Linked DNA regions of Rattus norvegicus. The protein of the gene in region 4 binds, or shares a complex with, the protein of the main gene of each other region. Links are inferred from orthologs where the notes say so. Each region holds a gene or a part of one and is shown on either strand. Other genes may lie near its edges. The genes, in order: Taf4, Taf10, Taf6 and Taf3.

Evidence for each region.
Region 1: Taf3 (region 4) and Taf4 share a complex: the UniProt entries of both Homo sapiens proteins name them as parts of the TFIID basal transcription factor complex. The link is inferred for Rattus norvegicus from reciprocal best matches to the Homo sapiens genes TAF3 and TAF4.
Region 2: Taf3 (region 4) and Taf10 share a complex: the UniProt entries of both Homo sapiens proteins name them as parts of the TFIID basal transcription factor complex. The link is inferred for Rattus norvegicus from reciprocal best matches to the Homo sapiens genes TAF3 and TAF10.
Region 3: Taf3 (region 4) and Taf6 share a complex: the UniProt entries of both Homo sapiens proteins name them as parts of the TFIID basal transcription factor complex. The link is inferred for Rattus norvegicus from reciprocal best matches to the Homo sapiens genes TAF3 and TAF6.

Annotation. Positions count from the first base shown.
Region 1 is NC_086021.1:187,457,689-187,463,231, reverse strand, and holds the start of Taf4 (transcription initiation factor TFIID subunit 4), read left to right. Parts: upstream 1-2,189; 5' UTR 2,190-2,246; coding exon 2,247-3,474; intron 3,475-5,543. UniProt on the Homo sapiens protein: The TFIID basal transcription factor complex plays a major role in the initiation of RNA polymerase II (Pol II)-dependent transcription.
Region 2 is NC_086019.1:169,506,021-169,510,610, reverse strand, and holds Taf10 (transcription initiation factor TFIID subunit 10), read left to right. Parts: upstream 1-2,402; 5' UTR 2,403-2,417; coding exon 2,418-2,649; intron 2,650-2,754; coding exon 2,755-2,909; intron 2,910-3,073; coding exon 3,074-3,138; intron 3,139-3,221; coding exon 3,222-3,336; coding exon of another isoform or gene 3,337-3,342; exon of another isoform or gene 3,343-3,345; intron 3,346-3,501; coding exon 3,502-3,591; 3' UTR 3,592-3,671; downstream 3,672-4,590. Other genes in the region: Tpp1 (tripeptidyl-peptidase 1 precursor), read left to right, coding at 1-32; Ilk (integrin-linked protein kinase), read right to left, coding at 3,903-4,052, 4,227-4,357, 4,470-4,569. UniProt on the Homo sapiens protein: The TFIID basal transcription factor complex plays a major role in the initiation of RNA polymerase II (Pol II)-dependent transcription.
Region 3 is NC_086030.1:22,174,538-22,180,061, reverse strand, and holds the start of Taf6 (transcription initiation factor TFIID subunit 6), read left to right. Parts: upstream 1-2,123; 5' UTR 2,124-2,159; exon of another isoform or gene 2,160-2,266; intron 2,267-4,718; 5' UTR 4,719-4,778; coding exon 4,779-4,934; intron 4,935-5,320; coding exon 5,321-5,407; intron 5,408-5,505; coding exon 5,506-5,524. Other genes in the region: Cnpy4 (protein canopy homolog 4), read right to left, coding at 1,590-1,725. UniProt on the Homo sapiens protein: The TFIID basal transcription factor complex plays a major role in the initiation of RNA polymerase II (Pol II)-dependent transcription.
Region 4 is NC_086035.1:73,510,751-73,515,587, forward strand, and holds part of Taf3 (transcription initiation factor TFIID subunit 3), read left to right. Parts: intron 1-1,016; coding exon 1,017-1,266; intron 1,267-4,077; coding exon 4,078-4,184; intron 4,185-4,837. UniProt on the Homo sapiens protein: The TFIID basal transcription factor complex plays a major role in the initiation of RNA polymerase II (Pol II)-dependent transcription.

The DNA.
Region 1 (5,543 bases), on a different chromosome or scaffold from region 4:
AGAGGGAGAGACATTTAAAGGAAATTTGTCTCCAGAGTGACAAAGGTTACGTCTCTAATAGTGTCTACTGTCCCTTGCATATATATAGGTTTTGAGGAGGGGAGATTTTTCAGCTCCACTCACTCCAGTCTTAAGGGCAGTGTACTTGAAAACAGCTGCCTGCATTGTGGCTCCCATACTGGGCACTGCAGCAAGGAGTGAAGAGTTTGGTGGCACAGACCCTAAACCTACACCTATAACTTAAGTCTTGGTGGCTCAGGGGCTGTGTCATCAGCAGATGCTTAGGCATGGAAGGAGGCTTCATTCTCTTTTAGAGGCTTGGAACCACACTGGAGATGTGTCTGGCAAGCCTATGGAGAGGACAATGCCTGTTCTCATGAAAGATCTTAGTACCATGGCAGCAAGGGACATGCAGGGTAGGGGTATGGCACTGGGAATCAACAGTCACCCGAGGGCCTGTGAGCTTCAGAGTCTGGGCTTTGCTATAGGTGTTCACTGTTTTGCTTCCTGTCACCTAAGGGTTTTGGGGTACAGGCTGTTGTACACCTAACTGGTGGTTCCCATTAACCAGCATCAAGTGGATGACTAAGAACCCGCTGAGTGTTTGGTCCATTTTAAAATCTTCAAACCATCAAGAGTGAAAAATTCCGATTTGGGTTTGGAGGGTTGTCACTAAGTGGTGCCCTACTTGCTTAGGATGCTCTTGGCCCCAAGTGTGTTCTCCTGTGTCAGAAGAAGACGCTTGGGTTTTATTCACAACTGTGAATTTCTGTTCCTGGTGTCAATCCTACACTGGCTTGTAGCACCCTACCTGCTTTCTCATTGTCTCCTCCTTTTTACTGGCTTTCCAAACCTGGAGGCTGATGTTCAAGAACAAAATTTCTGTTGTCTAAGGGTTCCCTAGCACACTTTGCAAGTGAGGGCACTGTGTTTTGTTTTGTTTTGTTTTTTTGGGGGTGGGTGGGGGTGGGGGTTTCAACGTGTACAGTTCCTTAGATAGACTATTGCTTAGAGAACAGCTGGGGTAGGGTGGGGTTTGTTGTATAGCAGTTATAACTCACTTAGTTTAAAAGGCTGGGACAGGATCAGCACACAGGCTGAGAGTTAGAGAGCAGCCTGCTTTAGAGAGGAAGAGTCCTCACCTCACCTTTTTGATATAAGTGTCTCATGAGACCCCAAGCTGGCCTCCAACTAAATATATAACCAAGGTTGAACTCCTTATTAATCTGCCTTCACTTTCCAAGTGCTGGGATGGTGTGTATAGGTAGTACGGGCTGGTAGGAAACGCCTCTTTCAAGGCACGAAAGAAAAAAAAATTACAATGTCACATTCCTCATTCCCCAGTGCTGGATCTGTGCGGACTGTGGCAAGTCTCTTCAGAAGTGACGATGATTCTGGGAGGGTCAGTTGCAGTGAGGTCCCAACAAGGAGCTTTGCCATCTGGAATTTGTTTTTGGGGCCTTTTCAAAAAATGGAAAGACGAAATCATAGCAACGTTCAATAAGACGGCCTTTTGGTTAAGAAAACACCCAGGAAGAAAGGGGCGAAATGGTAACGAAAACGTTCCCACAAAGTGCTTGCAAGCATCAGTTTAGAGGATTTACTACCCCCTCCCCCACGAGAAAAGTAAATAAAGAACAAATCAGCTTCCGGATGTCCAGCTTCGGTGTGCACGGCCCTCTTACTAACCGCTGTAAGTCAGAGGAGCTGACCCGTGGCGTCCGTGGCGTCCTCTGCGCACCTCTCCGCCCCGAAAGCGTTTTCTTGCCAGGACTCCTGCTCCTCACTGACCGCCGGGGCCCCGGGAGCGCCCGCGCAGCTGTCGCCGCCCGCCCTGGCCGCAGCCATTTTGGAAGGGTGCAGACAAAGGGCGAACCCCGCAGCCGGCTGCAGCGACCCACCCGGCACCGAGCGCCGCCGCTCTCCCCGCCCGGCTGCCATTCCCACCAGCGCTCTAACAGCCGACCAGCACCCAACACCTCGCCTGCTCCCCGGCCTCTGGCGCTCGCAGCCATTGGCCGCGTCTTTTAAGAGCCGGCCGCAGCCAATCAGAGGCCACAGAGGCGCGGGCGGGGGCGGTGCGTGTCGGAGCGCCTGCGCACTAGGCCGCCCCTCCCCCCTCCCTGCGCGCCGCGCCCCCGCCCGCCCCGCGCACCGCCCCCCGCCCGCCCCGCGCCCCGCTGGAACCTCCTCCTGCCCAGGCGCGCTCGGCCGAGCGGCGGCGGCGGCGGCGGCGAGGAGGAAAGATGGCGGCGGGCTCGGATCTGCTGGACGAGGTCTTCTTCAACAGCGAGGTGGACGAGAAAGTGGTGAGCGATCTGGTGGGCTCGCTCGAGTCGCAGCTGGCGGCCAGCGCGGCCCACCACCACCACCTCGCGCCGCGCACGCCCGAGCTGCGGGCCGCGGCCGCCGGCGCGCTCGGGAACCATGTTGTGAGCGGCAGCCCGGCCGGAGCCGCGGGCGCAGGGCCGGCCGCCTCCGCCGAGGGCGCGCCCGCAGCGGCGCCGGAGCCGCCCCCCGCAGGTAGAGCGCGGCCGGCGGGTGGGGGCCCGCGGCGCCCGGGCTCCAGCTCACCGCGCCGCTTGCTTGTCCCCGCAGGGCCCGCGCCGGCGCCCGCCAAGCTGAGGCCGCCGCCCGAGGCCAGCGCGGGGCCCTGCCCCGTCGCCGCCGCCGCCGCCACCGCTGCCGCCGCCGCGGGGCCGGATCCCGCCGCCGCCGCCCCGCCCGCCGGCCCCGGCGCCTCCAAGCCCGGCCCGCCTGGCCCGCCCGGCCCCGGCGCCGCGCAAACTTTGAATGGGAGCGCCGCGCCGCCCACCGCGCCGCACGCCGCACCTGCTGTCAGCCCGGTCAACAACGGGCCCGCGCCGCCGCCCGCCGCCGGCTCTGTCATCCAGGCGGCCCCCGCGCCCGCCGCGCCCTCGCCGCCCGCCGCGCCCGCGCCCGCCGCGCCCCCGCCTCCCGCGCCTCCAGCGCCCGTCGCGCCAGCCCGGCCGCCCGGGCACCCCGCCGCGCCCGCGCCCCCCGTGTCACCCGCTGCCGCCGCCGCCGCCGCCGCCGCCGCCGCGCAGAACGGGGCCGCTCCTGCCCCCGCCGCGGCCTCCGGGGGCGCCGCGGGGTTGGGCCAGCCGGGCGCGGGCGCGCAGGGGGCTAAGGCCGAGGCGCCCAAGCCCGGACCGGGGCCCGGGCCGGGGCCGGCGGCGGCGGCGGCGGCGGCGGCGGGGGGGGTCGCGGGCGGGGGCGCGGCGGGCGGTGTGCTGCTCGGGCCCGCCATGCCGGGCGCGCTGCCGGGGCCTGCTCCCGGGACCCCCGCGGGGCTGGCGAAGGGCGCGGCCGCAGCGACCCCCAGCCTGCCTCGGACGCCGGCGGCCACCACCGGCGCTATCCGGGCCACGCTGACGCCCACCGTGTTGGCCCCGCGCCTGCCGCAGCCGCCGCAGAACCCGACCAACATCCAGAACTTCCAGCTGCCCCCAGGTGAGTGGCAGCGCGCGGCGGGAGGCGAGGGCGGGTGCACCAGGCGGCCCTGGCGTTCCAGGAAGTTCTGGGCTGCATTCTGGGGCTGTGTCCTGGCAGGGTGGCACGCGAAGCCGAGGGGCGGCCTCTGCCCAGGTGACCTGACAGTTTTGAGGGCTTCCCAGTCCTGGAGCTCCAGAGCCCTCAGGGAACTCTGGTGTCCCGTTGGGGTGCTATGGGCTACCACTGTGTGGTCGAGGGGCCCTTCTTTCTCCTTCCTCAGGTGAGGTCAAGAGAGGGCGAACTAACTCAGGGGCAGGATGGTGAAGTCTGTGTGGAAGGCGTGGGCTTCCCTGTTGTCAGGGAAGCTGGTTAGGGACTCCATGCAGGGAGCAGGGGTTTAGTGGTCATCGGTGCCTGAAAGAGGACCCTGAGTGTTTTTGTTTTGCCATCCCTGGAGGTCAGCAGGACACTCACTGCGCAGGGGTCTGCGGATGCAGGAGATCATGGAGATGTGGATGCTGGGGCTCAGAAGCTGTCTCAGAGCTTGCAGATTCCATGTAGGCTCTGACTCTGTTGTCCTCGAATTCCTCAGGGCCCTTGGGTTTGATGAGTGACTCCTTTCCCCGCTTGTAGACTGCTTTTGTTTGAGAGTCCTCTGCAGAAGTGTTCCCACTGAACCCTGGGCCGGAGCGAGCACTGAGCGCTCCGCTCCTCCCGTGTTACACAGTGACATGTGCAAGCAGTAGTAGCAGCGCCGCCCGCCCACCGCGGTGGCAGTAGTAGAGAATTAGAAAACATGCTGCTACTGTGTCCCCCTGCTTTCTGAAAAGTGGTTTGGGTCACGTTGAAAGAGCTAAAGCATCTTTAGAATTCAGTTTTGCTGAGGTCAGTGAGGACCAGGAAGGCTCCGAAAAGGTTCAGAGATACTTGCCCTATCTATGGGGATACAGGACCCAGAATAGTTAGTGAGGTTGCAGGGGCTGCCATGCTCTGAGGAGGCGCTGGGTGTGACATAAGGCCTAGGAGCTGCAGATGTCTCTTGCCACACATCTGGGGCAGGGTGTGTGTGTGTGTGTGTGTGTGTGTGTGTGTGTGTGTGCGCGTGCGTGTGTGTGATTGAAAGGTCTTGTTCATTATCTTCACTCTGACCTTTGGGTGGAAAATATGGCTGATGTTATAGTTTAAGATTCATTCTGTGCTTGTAGTCTATTATTCGAATAGACTCCCCAGTGCAAGGATGTGCCCATGTTGTCCTTTTATCAGGAAAGCTGTCGTAGTCAGGTGCCATGACATCCTTCCATAGCGTCTTGACTTTCCCTGGTTCCATTGCCTTTGAGTGCCGTACAAGTAAAGTCCATCTCCCCGGGAGAAATGACAATGCCATTTGCAAAGGGCATTGGCTGCCGTCTCCATCACAACTGCCTCCTTTTTCAGGTCAGGTTCAGGGTTGGTGTTTGAGCAGAAGGTAACTCCTTGGGGAAAAAGTAAATAGGTCCATCATTCGCACTTCTCTACGTCTGCATCAGCCCCATGCTTGTGTCCAAGAGTAGGGCAGAGTCTGTTGCCTTCTGGGTGGCAGACACCCAGCGCTCTGCTTCAGAGTGGGCACATGCTTTCTAAGGAGAAGGCCCATCCATACCCACCTTCCTAACCGTCTGGCTCCTGTGGCTGTTTTGATAAGGAACGCTGATTGAGGGAGAACCTTACTTTAAAAACACCCAAAGCTAAGCTAATGTTTGGTGCTTAAAACTACTACCACCAGTGCTGGAAAGCCAACTTCTTTTTAAAACAGGACAGGGAGACATGGTTAGAGGACGCAAACATACTAGGTCTTCCCTGTATCTGAGCAATCAGGACTTTCTCTAACTGGTGTTCCTCCTCTACTGATACATTTCATAATGAGATATATTCAGAAAAGGAGAAAACAGTTTCTAATAGAACTTTGTTTAGCCAATAGCAGCCTTTGCAGGGTAAGGCTGAGAGAGGGGAGGCAGGTTTCAAGGCTACACATAGGTGTCAAGTGGACTAGCATACCATTGGCAGAGGAGGGGAGTGTGAAAGGGGCTGAGTCCCTCCCAGTGCCCTCT
Region 2 (4,590 bases), on a different chromosome or scaffold from region 4:
CAGCCCTACTGAAGACTCTACTCAACCCTTGACCCTTCCCTGCCCTGACGAGAAAGCAGAACTGTTTCCTGTACTACAAGGGAAGGCTCAGTTTCTCGTTATTCCTCAATGGAAGCCCTGATGAACTCTTAACTGTTGCCTGCTGCAGATAGCTTCTCCCTAACCCTCAAATGCTGTGAGCAGGACTGGACTCCCAACCCTGTGAGCCATCAAACTCAGGTCTCCAAACTTCTACTTCGAGATCCCCAACAAGATGCTATAACCAGCATTTTGTCTCACCCCAACCCCATCTCTCCTTCCTCTTTCCAGCTTGAGATGTGAAAGCAGGGCGAGAAGATTCAGTCTGCATTACTGACACCAGCAGTCCCACCTAATGCTTACCACCTCTGCACTGACCGTATGCTCTTTCTCTTCCAGCTGCTTCTTCGTTCACTGAAATGAGACCTTTGTGCTAATCGTTTAGTCTTTCTTCCCCTGGCACTGAAGTGCAATGGTCTCCCTGACATTCTATCCAGTTATACACTTCTCAGTGTTTTATGGGCTTTCTTGTTTAAGAACAGGTTGGTGATGGGTTGGGGATTTAGCTCAGTGGTAGAGCGCTTGCCTAGGAAGCGCAAGGCCCTGGGTTCGGTCCCCAGCTCCGAAAAAAAGAACCAAAAAAAAAAAAAAGAACAGGTTGGTGACAATCTATATAACTATTCTAAGGAAAGTTCAAGTTTGAAAATTTTAAATGTTTTAAATGTTCTTATTGGCAAAGCTCCTCAACAAAATAAATAGGTGTTACAAATTTTGCTTTAAATTTTTGCTTCAGTGATTTTTTTTTTTGTAAATTATTTGTAAATTTACATTTTATTTTCCCCTTCTTGGCTACACCAAAGCAGCATTCAGGTTTTAATTTCAACTGTCAGACATTCACAAACATCTAGCTTCTGTGAACCTGGGTGTTCGTTCTTTCCGTCAGTTTCCCATTCCTTTTTTGCTCAGTGTATACCCCCTTTGACCACACTAACTGTCCTCCTTTTCAACTAATTATGGGATGCTGGTGTTCATTGTTCCATCCGTAGGTTTTTACTCATATTTTATTAACATCCCTTGATAGATCACTGACATCTCAAATGTAAGATACCTCATTACTTCATCTCCCTCCAGCCCAGACCTAAACTATTTCATCTCTTAGTCTGTGATATAATGCCTCTTTCAAACAAGCCAGAAACCTGTAACTCTTAATTTTCATTTTTTTTCACCTCCCTACTAACTTCAACAAGTTTTACTGACTACTTCTCCAGATATGTCTTTATCAGCTAGCGTGGTGATGCTCACCTTTAATCCCAGCACTTAGGAGGCAGAGACCAGGCAAGCCTCTCTGAGTCCATCCTGGTCTATACAAAGAGTTCCAGGCATGCCAGGCCTACGTGAGACCATGTCTCGAAAATACACAAACGTGCGTGCACGCGCGCGCGCGCGCGCGCGCACGCACACACACACACACACACACACACACACACACACACTACTGCATTATCTTTGAGCCCATGTCCTTTTTCCTCTAAACTGCAGGAAGTACTTGGGTAGGGGAGAGCCTTCCAAAGCCCCTCAGCATCCTTGACCATGGGTAAGTCATCTTCTAAACCAAACAGTATATTTATTTGTGCAAACCCTTCAAAGATTACTGGGTAAAAGTCAGGGACATTGAAACCTGCCTTCAAAATTGGGAAATAAACATTGCTAATGTCTGACACTTGGAATTAAGCAGCTGATGTTAGTTCCCTACTTCCTTGCACTCCACCTACGTGTATCTGGGAAACAACCATACAGTATTAAAATTGTCTGCCTTCCTTTTCCAGAGCTTGGTGCTAGTGAACTAGAATCTGATTCTTAACTTTGTATTCCTAGGTCCCAACCCTGTAGTTGGCAAATAGAAATTAAATAAATGACTGTTGAATTGCTAATGTGCTTCACATGTGACTTTGGCATGTTATTTCTTCGGGGTGAAACACCTATCTCTACATTTACAGCAGCACGCTTCTAGGACCGTTGTGGGTGGGAGGGACACACACCAAATCCACTAAAATCCTTAAAGACAGTGAAAGGGAGCGACAAAGAATGAAGACTGTTAAGGAGACTGGTAATGAAGTATCTGACATATGAGTCCCCAAGTCAAATCTGCGCACCCAGATGAAATGAAGTGTGCAGTCCTGGATTCTTCGCGGTCCCATCTGGGCAGGGTTGAGCCGCAGGGTGGAGGCTAGGTCTTTCACAGTTTACCTCTGCCAGTCTACACCTAATCTGCCAACAGCCAACCTAAGGTCGCCCGCGGCGGACTAAAGCGGTGGGGCGGGAACTGTGACGTCACGCAACGTGCGCCTGGGCGAGCGGAAGCGGAAGTAGCTCTGGTTGCCGCCTTTCCCACCAGCCCCATGAGCTGCAGCGGCTCCGGCGCGGACCCCGAGGCGGCGCCAGCCTGTGCCGCCTCGGTCGCGGGTCCGGCGCCCCCGGTGTCCGCTCCCGCTGCGCTGCCCACTAGCACGGCCGCGGAGAGCAAAGCCAGCCCCGCGGGGACAGCAGGGGGCCCTGGAGCTGGAGTCGCCACTGCAGGCACGGGCCCCGTGGCGGCACGGGCAGGGGAGCCCGCGGAGCGGCGCGGACCGGGTGAGCTCCGGGCCGGGTGAGGGAGGGGGGAATCTCCGACTGGGTGCCGCAGCGGGGGTTGGGGGGACCCTGCGCTTCTCACCTGTGTTGTTGATTCTCCTTCAGCTTCGGTGGCAGCAGGCGGCGCGGCTCCCCCTGAGGGGGCAATGTCTAACGGGGTTTACGCCCTACCGAGCGCGGCCAACGGAGAAGTGAAGCCCGTAGTGTCCAGCACACCACTAGTGGACTTCTTGATGCAGTTGGAGGATTATACACCTACGGTGGGCTTCCCGCCTGTACAAGGCCACCTGCCTCGCTGTCGTGCCTTTCAACCGCACCTTCATGCTTTCAAGCGTCCTCTACTAGGAAGCTGTCTCTTTATTCTTCCTCCCCACCCAGCGCATCAGTAGGCAGAGCTAATAATGACGGCTATTTGATTTTTCAGATCCCGGATGCAGTGACTGGTTACTACCTGAACCGTGCTGGCTTTGAAGCTTCAGACCCACGCATGTGAGTAAACTCAGAGGTTAGACTGTTGAGTGCTGGGTGGAGTTTGTTAAATATCTCATTACCACCACCCCCTTCCTCTCTAGAATTCGGCTCATCTCACTAGCTGCCCAGAAATTCATCTCAGATATTGCCAATGATGCCCTACAGCACTGCAAAATGAAGGGTACAGCCTCTGGCAGCTCCCGGAGCAAGAGCAAGGTGTGAGAGGTTCGCCTTCCACAGCAGTACAGACTTAACTTATCCTGAAAGCCTTTTGGGGAAGCAGCATCCTAGGGGAGGTATTGGGCCTACTCAGGGTTACCCACAAAGGACTGGAATCTGGACTTGCTGTGCTCAGCTGGTGGTCTTCCCTCTTTCCCCCAGGATCGCAAGTACACCCTAACCATGGAGGACTTGACCCCTGCCCTCAGCGAGTATGGCATCAATGTGAAGAAGCCGCACTACTTCACCTGAGCCACCCAACCCAGATGTATTTGTCTTCCCCTCTGTCCCCACATGAGCCTGTTTTCATAATAAACTTTATTGTGACAGGCGGGGCTGATCCCTCCCATGTTGGGAGACATCAAGTGGCAAGTGACAAAGCTCTGAGCCCAGCCCTCTCTGGGGCTACAGTGGTAGGGATGGGAGCAGGGAACAAGCCCCATAACTGGGGTAGTACCATGATTAGAGACAGGGGAGGCAACCAGAGATCTTCAGCTTCGGGGAAGTGCATTCCCCCAGCCATATGCTGATACTTCTGAAGTTTGGGCAGGGACCTTCAAGTCCTACTTGTCCTGCATCTTCTCCAAGATAGGTACAATCATGTCAAACTTGGGTCGCTTTGCAGGGTCTTCATTCATGCAAATCTTCATGAGCTTACACACGTGGGGGGAAATACCTGGTGGGATAGTAGGCCGAAGGCCTTCCAGTGCCACCTGCAAATTATACAGAACAAGGTGAGCTTCTGAATTTGAGTTCATCATATGGGCAAAAGCCTTTGACCCTTGAATGGTAGGATTACTATAGATCTGTATACACTGCAGGAAGGGCTTACCACAGTGATGTCAGCACCACTATCCCCACACAAGTATCTGCAGTTCTGTGCTCACCTTCATTCCAATCTCCATATTAGAAAGGTCAGCAAAGGGCACCTCTCGTGTCACCAGTTCCCACAGAAGCACGGCAAAACTCCACATGTCTGCTGAGCGTCTGTTTGTATCTTCAGGCTTCTTTTGCAGGGCTGGAAGGGATAAGGCTTATTAACTATTCCAGTTGCATAGCCTTTTTAGTCTCTGCCTCTTCTACTGTTACTGAGCTAATTCTTCATTTCCCAACATGATGCCTTTACCTACCTTCAGGGGCCACCCAGGCAGGTGCATACATGCGCCCAGGGCACTGGAAAGAAAACTTTACATCAGCCATGCTGATTCGGGCAGTCATATCTTCATCGATCTGAGGAAGAGAAGTTAAGGT
Region 3 (5,524 bases), on a different chromosome or scaffold from region 4:
AGAAATGACAAACTAGGCAGGGATAAATAACCAAAATGCTTACCCTGTGCTATATGACCTGTGCCATGGGCACTCCCTTTTCCTCTGGGGACTTACTTACAATACAGTGGGTGACAGGCAAGGAGGGAGTCCAAAGGAAAGTAAAACTGGGTCCAGTAGGAGCTTATCAAACACAGAAAGGAACGGGGGAAAACAGCCAAGAAAAAGACAAGGGATACTCACTGACTGAGAAGTTGGGTGTGTCTGAAGTACAGTCACTCTTAGGAATGGAGGAAAAAGCCTAAGTGTATATACAAGACATTTACAGCTCCCCCAAACCCCAAGTTGGCTTAGGGTCTGGGGAAACAGTTCAGTAAGTAAAGTACTTTTAACTTGAGGACCTGAGTTCAGATCCTAAGCACCTATACAATGTTAGGCGATGTGGCATGTGTTATCCCAGCATTTTGAGATCAGAACTAGAGACAGGAGGTGTCTATGGATAACTTTCAGGGGAACAAGAGAACCTCTCTCAAGCAAAAGGTAGATGTTTCTTCTGAAGGAATGACACCTGAGGTTGTCCTCTGACCTCCATAAGGTCTTTGTCTGAACACAGAGGTGCAAAAGCAACAGTGCCAAGGTTAGGCCTGTGTTTAGAAAGGTTAAGAGGTCCCAGGAGATGCCAAGGCGGCACAGGCCTTTAATCCCTGCACTCGGGAGGCGGAGGCAGGTGGATCTCTGAGTTTGAGGCCAGTCTGGACTACAGATCAAGTTCCAGGACAGCCGGAGTTACACAGAGAAACCCTGTCTTAACGTGTCCCCCCCACCCCCCCCAAAGACACAGATGCAAAAAAAAAAAAATGAGAGATTAGAATAAAGTCATGGGTAACAATGACAATAATGTTGTTGGGTGTAAAGTGAAACGATAATAAATCCAAAGAAAAAGTTAATGTCAGGGAGCCACAGGATATTTTATTCAGTGACCTGGCTTCCTCCCTGTTGGGAGTAGAGTGGGGAGGGGGGCATTTACTGATGCAGCCAGGGGCTGTGCTGCTTGTTGTAAAATCCCTACAGTGCAACCCATCTGCAAAGTCTCACACTGATGGGCAACTTCTAAGTGGTATGATGGTGTCTCCATCTTTTGTTTATGAGCTTCAGCTGGGGACTTACTCACCTTTAAACCCCTGAAGGGGGTCATCAGGCCTGTAATTTGCGAGCGTCTCTGCCAGGGCGGGGCACAGTACGTCTATAAGGTATGAACCTTACACCCCACCCATGCAAGTTGTCTAGATTTTTAACAAGTAGGGAAACGCACTGAGAAAGATGCTCGGTAGAGCCAGCGTTACAGGTTCGTGAACTACAATTCCCACAATCCATTCAAGCCCAAGCCCGCAAGAAAAACCTAGCTCCTTCTGGATGCCACCTGGGAAATGTAGTGCCACCGTAACACTGCTCTCCTTCCCTCGTTCCCATTCAAGTGTTACCAAGCTCCAACAGAACCTCTTTCAAGACAGTTGAGTGACCCATCTATCCTAGTCCATTTGATTCAGCCTAGAGTTAAAGGCAGGAGCTAGGATAAGGAGATGCAAATAGCAACTGCTCCATTTCTGTACCTTCGCATTTGCTGGGCAAACGTTCTGTATCAGCTTCTTCTTCTTTTGTCATTCCAGTCCAAGCACCGTACGCTGCCAGGATGAAAAGCAGTATTTCCAACCGCACAGGTCCCATGACAAAACGCAGTTCACACATACACACAACCACCTCTTGCCTTCAGACTAACTTCTGAAAGGGAGCGGGCCCTTTAAACTTAGGCGCAGCCGGCAGCAAGCCTTTAAAAAAAAAAAAAACTTACAGGGGACGGTCAGCGCATGCCCAAAGTTAGCCCGAAAGTGGGTGGAGCCTAATGGCTCCAGGCTTCCCGGCCTTACTTTTGTGGCGCCTCCTGAAGGTCCTGGCAGCTGGGTAGTGAAGATACAAATTGAAGAAATTAGAATAGAGTAATGTGATCTTTACATATACACGTAGAATTTAATTTTTAAATAATTCCAGACTGTGAAACGATATGGTCTATTTTGACATAGGGAAGAGCAGTGATAAGTTCTTGGCTTCTGCCAGGACCTACTACTGCCAGGGGGCGGGGCCAAGATGGCGCCGAGCGCCGGGTGAGCGGCGCCTTGGCAGCGGTGAGAAGCTTTTACTGCTCCCGGTGCTTGGCTGGCGGGGGAAGGTCTGAGGTGTACCCGGGAGGAGACCCTTTGAAAGGGCCCATGTGAGGACTGGGAAGAAGACGGTTGGTTGTGTGTCCGTGCTAGTGGGGACCCTGTGCATGATTGCACTGGAAGGATGTTGGGGAGATGTAGTAGATTGTGAACCTCCTGTAGCGCTGCCCGGGGAATCTTCGAATCACTTCCCTGCTGAGGAAAATGATGCACAGATATAGCTCAAGTTATCCGTCCTCTGAGAAGTCTTCCTGTCGTTTCCACTGATCTGAGAAATTCCGGAGGGTGTTAGTGTTTTATGAACCCTTAGTGGCAGGGGACTGGGACCCAACTGCCTCTTGTATACTTGGCACCAGGTTCAGAGTATGTGCTGAATAGTTGTATTTCCTGTAGACAAGATTTAACAAAAGTCTGAGAAAAATTGGGATGGAAAGAACCAGGGTCTTTGGCCTCCACCCCCAACCCCCACCCTGGCACACACACACAAACACACACCCCTTTTCCCCAGCACTCAGCTCTGAACACTCCTGAGGTTGACCTCATGTCCAGTGTCAGGCAAGCTCCTTTCCATTTGACCACAGAGTAAACTCCAAGCTTGGGTCTGTGTCTTTTTCATTTTGGTAATTGTTATACCAAGTATTTAGTGAACACTTACACCTTTAGGACTTAAAATTCATATATTTAATAATGTCCTAGGTACTAGTCAATCTAGGCACCAGATTGGTCAGCGGACATAACAGACATAATCCTGTCTACTGGTGGGGTAAGAATAATAAACAAGAAAAATAATAGCTTGGCGGTAAACAGCTGTAAAAGGCAGGAGGATCTCCAAATCAAGGCCACAGAATGAGTTCCAGACAAGCCTGAGACCCAATTGTAGAAGGGTTGCTTAACATGTGGAAAGCTTAGATTTAATCTAGAGTGATTATATAGAATACATATATATAATATATATCATTTATTATTAGAAGAAATTTTGGCAAACAAGTAAAGCCAGGCATGGTGGTATGTGCTTATAATCCCAGCACTTGGGAGGTGGAGGCCAAAGGACCAGGAGTTAAGACCAGTGTTGTCTACATAGTGAATTTGAAACCAGTCTGGGCTGGGGGCCACCTGCCCCTAAAGAGAGGTGGATGGGGTCAGATAAGGTAGTCAGCCAAACACATTTAGGAAGAACACAACAAAAGTTATAAAGCCAAGTACACTACATACCTGTCAGATTTAAAGGACAGCAAGAAGAATGATGTGTGACAGGTTAAATGGGAAAAGGAGGGATAGGTGATCAGACGTATGAAGGAAAAGAAAGGAAAAGGAAAAACCACTTAGGCAAGACTCAAACTTGCTGTCTGTGCACTTTAGCCTCCAGAGTGCTGGGGTTACAAGTGTACAGATGTAGGGTCTCACTCTGAAGCATGACCTGGTATAAAACTCAAGGCAGTCCACTGAAATCAGAAGGGTTGACCCGCAGAACTGGACAAGAGACAGATCTTGAAGGGAAGGCCTTGGGAGGGTTTTATGTCAAAAGGGGAACCATTATAGGAAAGAAATAGTTATCTGCTTTATATTTTGACACTTAAAACCACTTTGGTTTTAAGGAACAAATGCAAAAAAAAAAAAAAAAAAAAAAGTAAGATAGAAATAGGAACACCTTGTCCAGCAACTGAGTTCAGCAGATAGGCCAAAAAGGGTCTGGTTGGACTGCCTGGTAGGTTTTAATACCATGCTGGGAATCAACCCCAGGTCCATATACATGCTATATCTTCCAGCCCTTACTTGATGGATTTGTTTCAAGCGTCCAGATAAGAATGAGTTGTGCTGGATGTGGTGACACATGCCTATAGTCCCAGCACTTGGGAAGTAGCAGGACCAGGAGTTCAGGGACATTTTCAGCACATATGGAGTAAGAGACCAGCCCGGACTACAAGAGGCCCGAGAGAGAGAGAGACAGAGACAGAGAGAGACAGAGAGAGAACAGGCCTTTAATCCCATCATCCAGGAGGCGGAGGCAGGTGGATCTCTGAATGTGAGACCAGCCTGGTCTATAGAGCAAGTTCCAGGTCAGCTGGGGTTACACAGCCTCAGGGTAGAAGGGTAGGGGACAAACTGGGTCTGGAGATGTAGCTCAGTTTTTAAAGTATTTCCCAGCACCACAAAACTGTCGGGGTACGTCTATAATCCTAGAATTAGGAAGGTAGCAAAAGAATCCAGAGTCAAGACTTACCTTTTATTACATAGTTTAGGGCATGGCTAAAGAAACCTATCCACAAAAGTAAGAGCAAACAAACAAAAAAATTGTCACTGGGCATGTTACTACATGCCTATAATCCTAGTACTTGAAAGGCAGAAGCTGGGGGCTGGAATTAGAAGTGTTATGGCTCCATAGTGAGCCCCTGTGTCTAAAAGAAAAAAGACAGAGCAAGCCGTTTGGTAGCTTTGCTTTGACGGTGAGCTGTAAGTAAGGAGAGAACGCAGATGGAGGCTTTGAACTGTTTTCCTTTTTGTCTTGCCACATCCCACTCTTAGGATCTCCATCTCTCCACCCTGGGGTGACATCCTTCCAGGGACAGGAGCTGGAACTCCAGCATGGCTGAGGAGAAGAAACTGAAACTCAGCAATACCGTGTTGCCCTCCGAGTCTATGAAGGTGGTGGCAGAATCCATGGGCATTGCTCAGATTCAGGAGGAGACTTGCCAGCTACTGACAGATGAGGTCAGCTACCGCATCAAGGAGATTGCCCAGGTAAGCCTTCTGCCCAGCTTTGCTTTGTGCTAACAATTCAACCTACTATGTAACTAAGGATAACCTTGAACTTCTGACCCTCTTGTGCCCACCTCCACTGCTGGGATTGAGGGTCTAACACCATGTCTTGTCATGTGATGCTTGGGATTGAACTCAGGCTCCTGTGCCTGCTAGGCACATGCTTTACTCAGTGAGCCATATTCCTCAGGGTCTTAGATACATATCTCTTCTCAGAGGGGCCCTGGCGGGGCAGGCCTTCAATCCCAGCACTTGGAGTTTGAGGCCAGCCTGGTTTACATAGTGAGTTCCAGGAAAGCCAGGGCTACACAGAGGAAGACCCTGTCTCGGAAAACAAAAGCAAAATCTCTTTCCTTCTCACCCCCTAGGATGCTTTGAAGTTCATGCACATGGGGAAACGACAGAAGCTCACTACCAGTGACATTGACTATGCATTGAAATTAAAGAATGTGGAGGTGATTTGGAGGGGCTTAAAGAAGACAGGCGGCTTTAGAGTGGGGCCATGCCTCCCTTGAGCTGTTTCTCATGCCTTTCTCTGTCTCTTCTGGTATAGCCACTATATGGCTTCCATG
Region 4 (4,837 bases):
CTCTGTTAGTTACATAGTTATGGCTGTGGTAAGGCAGGACTGTGACCATGTCAGTTTATGGAAGAGGTTTGCGGGGCTTACAGTTCCAGAGGGACAGGGCTCAGTTACGGTGGAGAGGCATGGTCACAAGTAGCAGGTATGATGGCTGCAACAGGAAACCAAGGGATCACATCTTTAGGTACAAGCATGAAGGAGCAGAGCAAACTGGAAGCAAGGTGAGACAGTGACATCAAAGCCAACCCCTAGTAATGGCTGTACCATATAAATCTCCCTCGAACGTCACCAACTAGGGACCAAGTGTTTAAGCACCAGACCCTATGGGCCTTCTCATTCAAATTAAATAGAAAAGACACCTGCATATCTTTTAGGGCTTCATGACTTCTGGGGAGGAAGGGATTCCTTTGAAGCCAGTAAGACTCCAGGCCAACGGCTCAAGAGAAACCACTCACAAGGAACGCCACAGCACTTCTCACATTTCCTCTCAGAAGTCAGTCAGTTGACACATCTGAAGTCGTGAGGGAGGAGTGTGTAACCAAGTTATGGAAAAACACAATCCTTCTATTATGTATCTGTGAAAAACATACACGTGGGTATTGATTGTTAGAATGTCTCTACGTGTGTGATCACTGAGAAAGTTAGCCTAAGTTTCAACAGTGATAATGGGATAGGCCTTGAATTCTGAGCTCTTTAACTGTTTCTGGACACTTTAAAGCATATTTTTCAAGACTGGGGATATAACTCAGCTCTTAGAGTGGTTGCCATTCATGCATGAGACACTGCAAAATAAAATTAATAAACATGGATGGCAGTATGGCTCTGCAGGTAAGTGTGACAACTTGAGTTTGATCTCTAGAACTCATGTGGTGGAAGGAAGCGTCTCCCAGCACATCGTCTTCTGACTGTCTCACAACATAAATAAATGCCGTGCAAATCTACTTTGCTTCCAGACAAAGGTCTTTGTAGGAATTGTTAAATCTATGGTACATTTTGACCTTGGCTTTTTTTCTCCTTGACAGTGTCATCAGCAAGGTGGTGCCAGCCCCGGAGGCTAAGCCCGCTCCTTCTCTGAACAGACCTAAAACCCCGCCTCCGGCCCCTGTCCCTATTCCTGTACGAGTGAGCCCTACTCCATTGCCGCCACCACTCCTCGCCCAGGCTGCGGTGTGCCCTGCCCTGATGCCATCCCCAGCCCCTGCCCTCTCTGCAGCAGGGAGCGCCAAAGCCCCAGTGCGGAGCGTCGTGACCGAGACAGTCAGCACTTACGTGGTACGTGTGTCTCCACAGCGTTTAAGGGGGGGCTGCTTCTGCAGTGCTGGCCCTCACAGCAGTGCTTGATAAATGGAGAAGCATTACCATTGCCTTTTCAAGCTCTTGGCTCAAAACCACATAGATGATGTTCAGCTACATAAATGAGGCCAACCTGCATTTGTGTTGATTTGAATCATGTCTATACCTGAATATAAGAACACCAGTGTACAACTGTGATATTCAAATACCTCAGTGGATTCCTACTAGAGTGAGTAAATTACTGACGTCAATATAATTTATGTATTAGACATAGATCTTATGGGCTGGCTATTATTTCTCAATGGTAGCACTATTCATTATATTTTATTTGCTGAGATCCAGAATATATAGGAACTTACATCTTAACTAGAAAGAACCTTTAGACCATAAGAATTTCTGAGCATTCAAGTGCTTTTTTTATTCTTAGACCTAGCTCGGTGGTAGAGAGTGTGCCTAGCACGTACAGGGCCCTGAGTTTAACCCCTCGTGCTGAAAGTGAGTAGCAAACGCTTCTCATCACATCGAATGGCCCTGCGTTCTCCTGAGAGTGCCCTTGGCTGTTCCCACACTTAATTGTGTGGGGTCTGATTCCAACACCAAATTCAATCCAGTAATGAAGTATTTTATAAAGATATGTTCTCAGGGCACAGTGAAGACACACACAAGCACACTAAGTATTTGTAAATGGAGATATTGATGCCTTTGAATGACAAGCTCCGCAGGCTGTTGACTTAGCCTAGCCCTTGAAGAGATGAATGATTGAGAAGTATCTATATAGCATGTTACATGGGGGAGTTTGGAAAAAAAATAAACCATTATATATGTGAGACAGTATAAGGACACAAGTATAAAAAAATCCTGAATGCATTCACAGAGTAGATAGACAGGAAAAGTTAACTTAAAATTAGTAAATTGGCAATGTGATAGAAAAACCTGTGAGGATCGATTGGTCCACTCCTCTCCACCGAGGAGTATAATTGAGGCATCACCCCCAGGTGAGCTGACCAGGAAGGAGTTTATACTTAATCTCCTCAGCCTCCATTTGTTTATCTGTAATTAAGGGATTTGTATTAGACTCGGTAATCTCTGTACTCTTGTCTGGCTCTGAAGATTGTGGCTTTCCAGTAGATATCGGAACTGACTTCACAGATGTGAAAGCACCTGGAACAGCGCTCGAATGTCTCCTAGTCTAACTAGACACTTTATAGATGGAGGACACACAGGACGATTCTCTCACTGCCTACTACTGTACCATTGACAGTGAGATTCCTGTAGGCCCTGTTTCCCCATTTTTAAACTATCCAAAGATGTGTTTTAAAAGAACTCAGTACCCAAGAAAATACTGTGTATTACTGTGGTGCTACAGCAATTTTTTTTTTTTAATGTATCTCAAAGTCACAGCCTGCTAATGTCAAGTAAGGGCAGCCAGCAGCGAGACCAGCCATGCATGGTGGGTTCGCCCACTGAGCACCCAGTGCCTGGTGACTACTGGTGCAGTTGTCCCCACGTTAAAGCTGGCAGTCAGAGCAGCTTTCTCCACGTTCCTCTAGACAGGCTTCAGATGAGTGTAGATTGCTTTATAGAGATTTTTGAAATAGTAACCCTTGAATGAGTCCATGCATACAACAGAACATATCCACTCTTGATTCCCCCTCATAAGGAACCCTGGCCTTTCACACATGTAGTCAGTGTAGCACTTGAAGGCATAGGAAGAGGACACCTTACTCTGTGGCCATCTAAAGTAGACTTGCCTCAGTGCTCCTTTGCACCCATGCAGAATTGGCTTCGATATTGTGACATTTAGAAAGCCATCCAGTTAGGAACACTCCCTACTGAGAATGAAGCCGGAACCCTGGAACCTGCGGTATTTGGAGCATAATGATAATTAAGTGTGCAGTTCTTTGGCCCATGAGCCTCTGCTTCCCTTTGCCCTCTAGTGGATTGTGCTTTTCTAAGATGCCATGCAGGGAATGGAAAGTTACTCAGTAACAGCTCTTTTACATCCTTGATCTTATCACCTAGTTCAGGAGAAGGCTTGGCTAATGAGTAATGAGGGAATGCATGCGCGCTCGACTGTGTGTGCTAACCCCATGCTATGAGCGTGGCTGAGAAAATAGGGAAACCGAGAGCTTTCAGAACTATCCGTTGTGTGGCCGATAGGCCAGATTCACGAGGGGTTCGGGAGATGAGAGGAGTTCTTAGGAGAAGCTGTCTGCCAGTCGTGACAGTTTCAGAGACGACTCTGCAATGCTTTGTTTTAATGATTTACAGAGCAGTTTAGAATGTGCATCAGAAACATGTCGTTCTATCCAGGCACAGCAGCACATACCAGAAACCCCGGCACTCATGAAGTGAGGCCAAGATTGTAGTTCAAAACCAGCCTGGACCATAAGTGGCTGCCATGCCTGCCTAAGCTTATAGAACCTACCTCCAAAATAATAATAATAATAACAATGCAGGATGGGGTAGAGAGAGGGAAGAGTAGGGAGAAATGCAAGAGGGAGAGAGATAGTGAGGAGAGAGTGTGGGGGGAAGAAAGTGTGTGTGTGTGTGTGTGTGTGTGTGTGTGTGTGTGTGTGTGTGTGTGTGTAGGGGGACTATTGTTCACTAAGTAGCTGTTTTCCTCTGTGTGGTTCCAGAGCGGGGGTGACTGATGGTGACACACAGACAGTGCTGGTCTGTACGCCTAGCTTGTTGGTTTAGTGTGCACAGCATAAAGCAGCATTCTTATCTGGCCTCTTCTGCTTCTTTCCCCACACCATTTCTTCGGGCTCTGCACCTTACCACCAGATCCGTGATGAGTGGGGCAATCAGATCTGGATCTGTCCAGGTTGCAACAAGCCAGATGACGGCAGCCCAATGATTGGCTGTGACGACTGTGACGATTGGTACCACTGGTGAGTGCCCCCAGATCCCCAGAGTGCTAGACCGCAAGACGGCCAGCCGAGCCTGAGCATCTCAGAGCGACTCAGGACAGGGTCAGTAACTGCACTGTTGGTCGTGCTGTTGTTCCTGAGCCTGACTGTGGATGTCCTGCTTCAGTTCTGTACCCTTTCCTACAGGAATAGTAACTCCCCTCTCCTCCCTGCCCCTGGCATTGGGCTGCATAGTGAAGTTGAGGTCAACCTGGGCTACCTGAGACTCTTTCCCACCCTCAGCCTCTCCCCCCAAGTGAAACATACAAGCAAAGCCATTGCATTATACTCTTCCTGATGGAAAGAACAAATAAACTAATTAGTCTCACTATACAGAAGGCGCTATATAATATAGCCCAAATACCCAGCGTAAGTGCTACAGTGTTTGGGCAGATTTCTGGTGTATACATCATTTTTGGCATTTATTTTCATTGCGGGATTGGAGCGTGCTGTATTGGTTTGCACACCATTTCGTTCCCTGTTTCTGAGCACAGCACGTGGCTCAGAGACCGCGTGCTGTTGGGCATCATGGCCAGTGTCTTCATCTGTTGAGCCACCATGCCTTAAAGATTCATTTTAAAGCACCAGAAGAGAAGGGATTGGTTTACCTCAGTTGGTAGAGTGCTTCCTTAGCA